Arabidopsis thaliana: one gene and its partner. The protein of the gene in region 1 purifies or fractionates together with the protein of each later gene. This does not show direct contact. Each region holds a gene or a part of one and is shown on either strand. Other genes may lie near its edges.

Region 1 (4,722 bases):
TCTCTCAACACTTCATTTTCCAATATGAAAAAGAAGAAATTATCTAGATCTACAACACAACACAAGCAACAAATTCGAATTGGAAAACAAATCCAATTTCAATTTTAATAAATTTCAATTTGGATACAAATCCTAAACATGTATCTACAGAGAAGAAAGTAAAAGCCTTAGAAATATCAAATCAAATCTCAAAATCTAGGTACAAGTTTTTCGTCGAGGTTGTGCATAGAAAAAGTTTTCAGATTCTGGTGGTTGAGAAAACCCGTTGCTCTGCCATCTCCGTCGTCCTCTTCACCACCACCAGCTCCATTCTTCAATTAAATTAAGACAAAAAAAAGAAAAAAAAACGTCAAAAAGTATATTGCGGGATTCGAACTCAGACTTGGGTGAGTTAGATAAAAAATCAACCCAAAACTAACCACTAGACTAAGACAACATAATCGCAATCATATTAAAAGAGATTTGTATATATATCCGTAAATAACATGAGTTATGTTTTAACCACAGTTAGTAGTTCCGTTATCAAAACTAACAGTCGTTAACTTGGGAGCAGGAAATATCCAACATTTAAAAGACTAAGATTTTTGTAGACAATCGAAATTAACTTATGTATTTTTCTTCCAATTTTAAAAGTACAGGTATTAAACGGCCAAATTAAAAATAAACCGGGGTTTTTTTCCGCTTTTTTCCCTTTTATTTAGTACGTTATACTTGTGAAGCATGGAACAACATTATTACAATCCACTTTTATATGGAATTCGACTTTCTTTTAGCCAAGTTTCTCCATCTAAGAGCTTGGCTACAGTGAATTCTGTAGCCTGTTTAGGATCTTTCATAACTTTAAAGCCCGACCACTTCACCCTTCTGCTAGTCACAGCTCCCGGACCCCTATTTTGATATTCGCGGTAGTGGAGAGTTGACAGACCAGTTTCTCCTTCCCAAGGAGTCCAGCCTGCGGGATCAACTAAATCACCGATGAAAGACTGCAGAACCGCGACTGTTGAAAATATCCTCCAAGGCCTTCCAAGATACGTTTTTACGGTTGCTGTATCTAGATCCGAACTTGCTGTGATGTTGCAGTTTTGAATTGAGAAGCCCGATTTGTCGTCCTTAGTCTCGCGTGATTGAGCGGTTATGAAATTGCTTTGCCCCATATTAGGCTGTCTTGCTACAATCTGGCAGAATTGAAATACCGCCGCTGCGTTTCCACAAATGAAATCTACAGTACCGGTAATAAAGCACTCCCTATAAAACTGGCGGTCTATGTGAGGATACAAGGCATCCTGATATCCCTCGACACGACATCTGTAAATGACGGACATATCACCACTCACACGGAGGGCAACAGCTGGTCCTTTTGCCGGCCCGACCGTGTTTCGGAAGCACATGTCTACTCCGATGAATCCTTTACCATTAGAAGCTTCAAACATATTTTTAGTATAATTAGAATTGTCTTTAAGAATGTTATAGTTTGGTATAAAGAAGAGAAAACTATAAATTATTCAAGAATAGAACACAAACTCTTACCAAAAGTTGCAGTGTAGAACGTTCTTCTAACATTGCTAGCGCTTAAATTGCCCGTGATGATGGTTGAATCTTGACCATCACCTATAAGAGTTAAATTGGGTTTCGTATTCTCAATGGCGACGATTTCATCATAAATGCCTGTCTTTATATAGATGATGAATCTCTTGTGGCTGTGTTGAGGTGCTGCTGCAATGGCCGCATTCACTGTGTTGTACTTTCCGGTCCCATCTTTCGCGACCACAACATCGGCAATCTTTTTTAGAGCCTGCTTTATAAAAAACAGAAGAAATTCTATAAGCAGTAGAAAGAAAGAGAAAAATGATAAAAGGTTTGTTAAGAGATGCAAAAATATCGATTTACGTGACCTTAAGGTCTATATTTATAGAACTGGTGATCTCTAAGGAAAAAGAATTTATCTACAAGTAAATACAATAAAAGGTAAATATACAAATCCTAAATATTTGTTACTTGAGTATCAAGTCTATCCTTAATTTGTTTTTCACGATTATCAAATTATAACTTAAAAATATTAGGGTTCCGTTTTATTACCTCAGCATTGAGATATAGATCTTTCTTGTCAACATGAGATAACCAAGACGGGCTATTGGGAACCACCGAGTTAAGTTCGGTGTTGTCTCTCGGCGAAATGGAGATAAAAAGAGCCAAAGCTACCTTTGCCTTAGAAATGAGGTCTTGAAGCTGTGGCTCGACCCGACGTTTATAGGCACCGTCACCAATTTCGTCGATACATGTGATGTAGCTAGTAAGAACGCCACTGAGCCAAGTGTGGATGTTTTCGTAAGATCCAAGATAAGGGAATTCTCCTCCTAAGAGTTCCTCCACTGAACGGATCATCCTATCTTTTGCCGACTCCATCATCTCCTCAAATAGATTTGTGTCCTCCTTCAAACATAGCTTATCATTCTCCATCTCCTCATGTTGTTTTGTATCTTCCATCACACCAATCATAGCCATGTCGATCTTCCGCACGGAATTCTTCAAAACGATGATCAATAAGTCACGACGTCTAATCTCCGAGAGTGACGAGGAAGCTGTCTTAAGCTCCAACAAAAAGTTTTGACATGAGTGTTTGTCATCACAATATTCTTTGCTAACACCAATAACCACCATTGTTATCATAAGGATGAAAAAAGAGAAAACTTTAACCAACATTTTTGTGTTTATTTCTTCTCTCTTAATTACTGAATTTATATTATCTTAACTGATGAAAGAGGAGGGAGCGATGGTGGTCTTATATACAAAGCAAAGCAACTTAATCAATTTACATTTAATTAATTGTATTCAATAAATGACAATATTTAGGAAAAAAACTTTATTTTGAGATCAATCTAAAAATTCAGTGCAATGTGAATTGAAGCTATAATTCAGTGAAGTTTGGTTTTATTATCCACAAAGAACAGAAAAGAAAAGTGGTCCAAAATTTTCAGCTCATAAAAGATAGAAGAAGAATTGTCTTAGAGTACTTTAGTTGAAATACTTGTTTTCCACTGTACTCTAAATGGCTAAAAAAAAATGAATTTGGTAGAAATTGGTTTCATCCATTTTAGGTTATGCTAACAACAATACAATATATTCTCAACCTTAATCTCTTACGTGTGAGGATGAGACTTAGCCATTATTGTTTTAGTACTAGAAAAGACAATATACACCTAATAAATAGAAAACCCCTAGGTTTTTTTTTTGGTCGTTAGAAAAGATGTTCTTTTTTTCTTTTTGGTTGATTCTATCGGTTGTTAGGCAATTCACTCTCAACTTTCACTACGTTACAATGTTTACCCGAAAAGATATAATAAAAGCACTCTCATAACTTGTCATTCCTCCGTAAAAAAATGGTACTGTAATTTTGACAACTTTGAATGAATCTTATGCAGCTATTGTATCTGGAATCGATCTCTTCTTTGAGATTTTTAGAATTGGTAAAAGAACAAGAAAGCTTTAGATGTGCTGCGTAGAGCTGCAACTAAAGATGGTGGTCATTGCTTTGGATGCTAAATGATGTGGAGAAGAATCAATTTCCTTCGGATTGTTCTTGAAAAGGGTTTAGTAGTCTGTTTTTGCGGTATGTTTCTTACACTCTTGGCAGTGAAAGCAAAAACTTATCAGTTCTTCTATTGAGTGATTCATTGTCTTCCTTTTTTGGTCTCCAGGATGCTGATGTGATGTGGTTCATGAACTAATTTGCTTCTCAATGCTTTCAATATTTAATGCTTTCTTATGATTTCTTTGTTGAGTTGCATTTGACTGAGAACTCTCGTGAGATGCTTCACATACTTACAAAGTCTCAGTCTGCGCGCATGGAATGGTATTGTATATCAGAAGACCATTCAATATGGAGATGTTGTAGTAATTGTCGCGTAGGCTTCTTTCTTATGCTTGTGTCTTTTCTATATTGTTGTGCAATCTGCTAGTTTTCCAGTATATGGCAATTATAATATTGTATAGTTAGGTATTAGCATGAGGAATTCAGCTGACAATCGGTTGATTAAGGTATTTATCAATGGGATGGAGCCCATCACAACAAATATGATATGACTCAAAATTTGTTGTCCTTATTGTCTCTCTCTTCTTTCTGGAATATTTTTGTATGCCTATGTTGATTTTTAAATCTCCCATAATACTCATTTTGTTGCAGGTGAAAAAGTTTTAGCAAGCACAAAGTTGCAGCTCTTCAATGGAGATTATTAATTTAGAAATGCCAAAAGATAGATTTGCTAGATATATGTATAATTGTTCAGTTATATTCATTGTAAAACAGATTTCTTTTTGGGCGGCAATTGATTTTATATATAATATAGTGATCTTTTCTGAATTTTTGGTTAGTTTGAATTTTTATTGTATTGAGAAATACAGAAATAATAGAAAACGGAAAAAAATAGAAAATAAATACACTGAATATTCCGAAAATTTACGACCGATGAATGCTCTACTTATAGTAAAATTATATCACATGCTGATACACTGTGCTGACATGCCATGCAGAATGCAATAAGCAAGGATCCCCTATATGACCAACGTGTAAAATTTAATATGAAACTATTATTTTTGGTAACTACTGTTCCTGATAAATAATGTAATCAACTTAAACAAAATTCATATTATTCATGAAAATATTCTCAAAGTTTTAGTCATCTAGTACATATAATAACCCCATAAAAAAAAATTAAATTGATGGTG
Region 2 (4,008 bases), about 12 Mb from region 1:
TACAGACACAGGCACTTGCCAAAACCAATATACAAAGCGATGGGTATCATTCGAACTGTGAACGATTCGAAGAGAAGAAAAGAAGCACGAAGGAAAGCTCACAGTGCTCCAGGAACAGTGGTCACAGCACCTCTGCGCAAAAGAAAGATCATCAAAGAAGTGGAGTGACTCTACTCTTTCTCCGTTTGTTCCTTTCAAGGATGATGATACGTGGAGAGGATTGTATTGGTATAGTGAGGGTAAGATTAGGAACATGAACATTTTTGCTGTGTTGTAAGCCTTTCTTTATGCCATTAAGTTATTACCCATTTCGTTTTCTTTTTTCTCTTCACTACGTATTGTGTTCATTAACTATTCGTTTTTGGTGTTACAAAGCTGATCTTCAAAGTAACATTCTGATTTCAAAGATTTATAAAGTTTGGAATTAGACCGACTTAACTAGACAATGGTTCTATGATCCGTCGATGAATTTTATGCACTTACAATTTGTCTTAACAATGACATTAATCAAGGATGAGATGCTTTCGATGTAAAAAGTTGGGCAAAACTCTCTGTAACCGAGAGGGTACAATAGTGTACATCAAATAGTAATTAATGAAAAAACAAAGACATTAGTAAAGTTTAAGAAAGAAAAACTTATTTTTACTGTATTAGATAGTGCACAAGCAAGCTCTCAATGGTCTTTAACTTACATCAACACAAATTAAAAGGAACAATTGCATTACGCCATTACCGCAGGCTCAATAGTTCTCCAGAGCAAGATCATGACCGCATATTTTAGGGTAAAAAAGAAGAAGCATATTCCTACAAGCAACTCTGGACCAGTCATACAATCTTCATCATCTAAATCAAAGACCTTCACGGTAGAAAAATCAGAACCCAACACTCTCAGGGGTTAACCTCCATAAACATACTAAAAGATCACTGATCACCACCAACATTGATCAGTTCATACTCAACGAGAGACAGATTGTTATCCTCCTTGACAGTGAAAGACGCGGCTCCAGTGGCTTCGATGCGTCCCCATTTATCAACTCCTAGCCTCATTGTACCCTTGAACATGTCTATCCTTGAATTGCGCAGTATCACCGTAGCACCCGGCTTCATAAGATCAACTATACACACACACACACACACAAAAAAAACCAATAACATCATTAGAGCTAATCAGTAGCCACATCAATTGCACGAAAACTGGTATAACAAAACTTCACATTATGAAAAGCTATGAAAGTTTTGGGATAATGTAGACCATTCAATTGAACATAACTCAACATCTAACCAAGCAAGTTTCATCATCACTATAGGTAAGACTATACAGAGTTACAGACCCTCAAGGCCAAGATTCTTTCAAGCTTCAATTTCACAAAGACATCACTAAATACACATACAATAACTGATACATCATTTACCAAATAGTACTAATAGAAACACATTTACCATTTGCTCAAAATAGAAATTGATTAAGACAAACGAGAGAACAACAAAGGATAAGACTTATCACTCTAATAAACTACGAAGACACCATTTCTATATCCATAAAGCAAGAGAAAAGTGGAGAAACAATAACCTTGATCGTTACGAGCAGTGAAGAGGATACACCCAGTTTCGTCACCGATGAGACACTCAACGATTCGACTAGGCTGAGAAGGACGACTCAGAGAACTCGCTGGACGAGTCTTCCGGGTAACAGGAACCACGATATTAGCCTCAATGACTTTAACAGTCAACGTGTGACCAGTCGTTCCAGGCTTTAGCTGTTCCACCTTCACAAACACCGGTTTTCTCTTCACCGTCGAAGTTCCCGTCGCAACCGCAGCAGTTCCAGTCGTCGCCATCGCTTCAAATTACAATACCCAGATTTCGCGTTCGCCCTAATTTGGTGGAATCGATAAAACTTTTGGAGAAGAGAAATGGGAATTTAGGGTTTATAAAGAAAAGACGACGATGTGCTCTCTCCCAAGACGGACGAGAGTTTTTATCACCTGCTTCTCACAGTTTCATGAGCTTGTCACGTGTCAATTTATTATTTGATATTAATGACTGCTCTTTATTTATTATTACGTAAATGTGAAATATTATTACACAGGTGGATACTGAAAAGACACTAGTGACTAGACTAATAAAGCTTCTTTGGTGCTTTGGTTTCTGCAACTAGCACCAACGCTTGCTCTTCTTCTGCTGACCGCGGTGAAGTTGACTTATCCTCCGGCGATTTTTGTTGCTCCGGGTGAGTTTTTTCTTGTTGCTTCTTCTCCTCCTCATCCTCGGAATCTAACTGTAGATTCTGTCGTCTGTATCTGATTACTACTACTATGATAAACACTGCAATAAAACGGGTCTTGAGAGAAGTTAGATTCCAGAATGCAGTAACTGCAGAGCCTGCTACGAATTTCTTGTGTGTGCAAACTCCCCAAGCTTCAACAAATCTCCTTTGTGCACACTCAACTACACATAAGCAAAGATCAAAGAATCCTTAGTGTCAATCATTGGAACCATCAAAGAGCTACGCAGTCTGTTAATAGAGTTTACCTTTTTGGTTAAGCTGACTTGCGTAACATGAATATAGCTTTGGAATAGTGAAGCTAAGGAAGAAACCTGTTTAAAGAAACAATGCATACTCTGTGTCAATTCTACTAGATACAACTAAAGAAAACAGTTTAGCTTTCTTTGGAGTAATGTTGACATATAGTGTTTCAACAATCATACCAAAAGCACATAATCTCCACAATGTTATGAGGTAACCATACTCAGCTCCCATTAGAACAAAAGGTGCCACCTGAAATCAAAGTAAAAACAGTGTAAGAAGGACAAAATCAACGTGAGAGTCACATTCATTGGAGAGAAGTTTTATGAGAATGGCAAAGTTTTGTAAATTCTACTTTGAGTGTCATTGCTGGTTCACCAGAGAAAAGCTCACTCGTCTTTGAAATTGCTAAATTGGTGATGGGAAGCATTCGTCTAGCTATTCGTAATACATCATCTTCACTCAATTTAAGCTCTCTCCGCGCTTCTTCAGTAACCCTTTATGGTAACAAATGGATCAAAACTTCAGTCAACTGCAGTTCAAGCTGATATTTATGTACTGGGACCTTAAAAGTTTGTACCTTTGGCGAAGAGTATTTGACAAGAACGATACCCCAAGAAACAAAAGTCCAAGATAGGAGATCGCTGAGAAAACACTTCAAACCACACAAAGTTTCATTATCAACTCATGAATGTGAAAAATGATTAAAGCTAGAAAGATAAACCTTGACAGAGAAATCAATGTTACCTAAAGTTAAATCCTTTAGCAGCAAAGCAAGTAGATAGGAAACATATACAGCCAAAACCAAACCAAAGTGTTGATTTCGCAACATCTCTCCACATAATCAAATCGCTTATATTCTCTCTAATCCGCTCTAAATCACCTTGACAAACATCTTGAGCTGAATTACACAAATCATTGAGCAATTATTAGAGCACGAAAGTGAAATCGAATGAGCTAATAGACAGAGGAAGGACATACGTTGATCTGAAGATGGACTAGGAGAAGCTAACAGAGGAACAGAACTGTGCTTCTCCTTCTTAGATCGACCCAACTTCTTCTGTTTCCTCTGGTTTTGTTTCTTTTCATCGGTCACGACAACAATTGGCTCCGTATTTTCCTTTGTATCTACCATCGCCTCCGACCTTAGTCTCGACCTCCGGAAATTCCTCGGCGACGGCGAGGCCAAAAGACCATTTTGCCCTCCCTTCGTCTTACTCCGTCGTGCCGTCACAGCAGCCTCCGCAGCTTCCATATCGAACCGATTGCTTAAACGGGTTCTCGATTTACGAAGAGGGGAAGGAGATAAAAGGAGAATCTCACGAAGAGTAACAGGAGAAGATGGTGAACTGAGAGAAACAGGTGATGGGTAAGGAGTACCGTTGTTGTTCTTCGGAGACAATAAAACCAAATCGAGAGATGGAATGTGAGATTTTACGAGAGTTTTGTTGTTTCGAGCTAGACGCAAAGCGGATCTAGTA

Evidence for each region.
Region 2: the proteins of AT4G03930 (region 1) and AT4G28440 fractionate together in Arabidopsis thaliana (co-fractionation; one large-scale study listed by BioGRID). This does not show direct contact.

What each region holds. Positions count from the first base shown.
Region 1 is NC_003075.7:1,868,400-1,873,121, reverse strand, and holds AT4G03930 (Plant invertase/pectin methylesterase inhibitor superfamily), read right to left. Parts: upstream 2,701-4,722; coding exon 2,077-2,700; intron 1,793-2,076; coding exon 1,528-1,792; intron 1,421-1,527; coding exon 735-1,420; downstream 1-734. UniProt on the Arabidopsis thaliana protein: Acts in the modification of cell walls via demethylesterification of cell wall pectin.
Region 2 is NC_003075.7:14,057,884-14,061,891, reverse strand, and holds AT4G28440 (Nucleic acid-binding, OB-fold-like protein), read right to left. Parts: upstream 1,997-4,008; 5' UTR 1,839-1,996; coding exon 1,571-1,838; intron 1,116-1,570; coding exon 922-1,115; 3' UTR 506-921; downstream 1-505. Other genes in the region: AT4G28450 (WD repeat and SOF domain-containing protein 1), read left to right, coding at 6-168; AT4G28430 (Reticulon family protein), read right to left, coding at 2,120-2,448, 2,533-2,598, 2,710-2,779, 2,883-3,024, 3,108-3,182, 3,275-3,428, 3,509-4,008.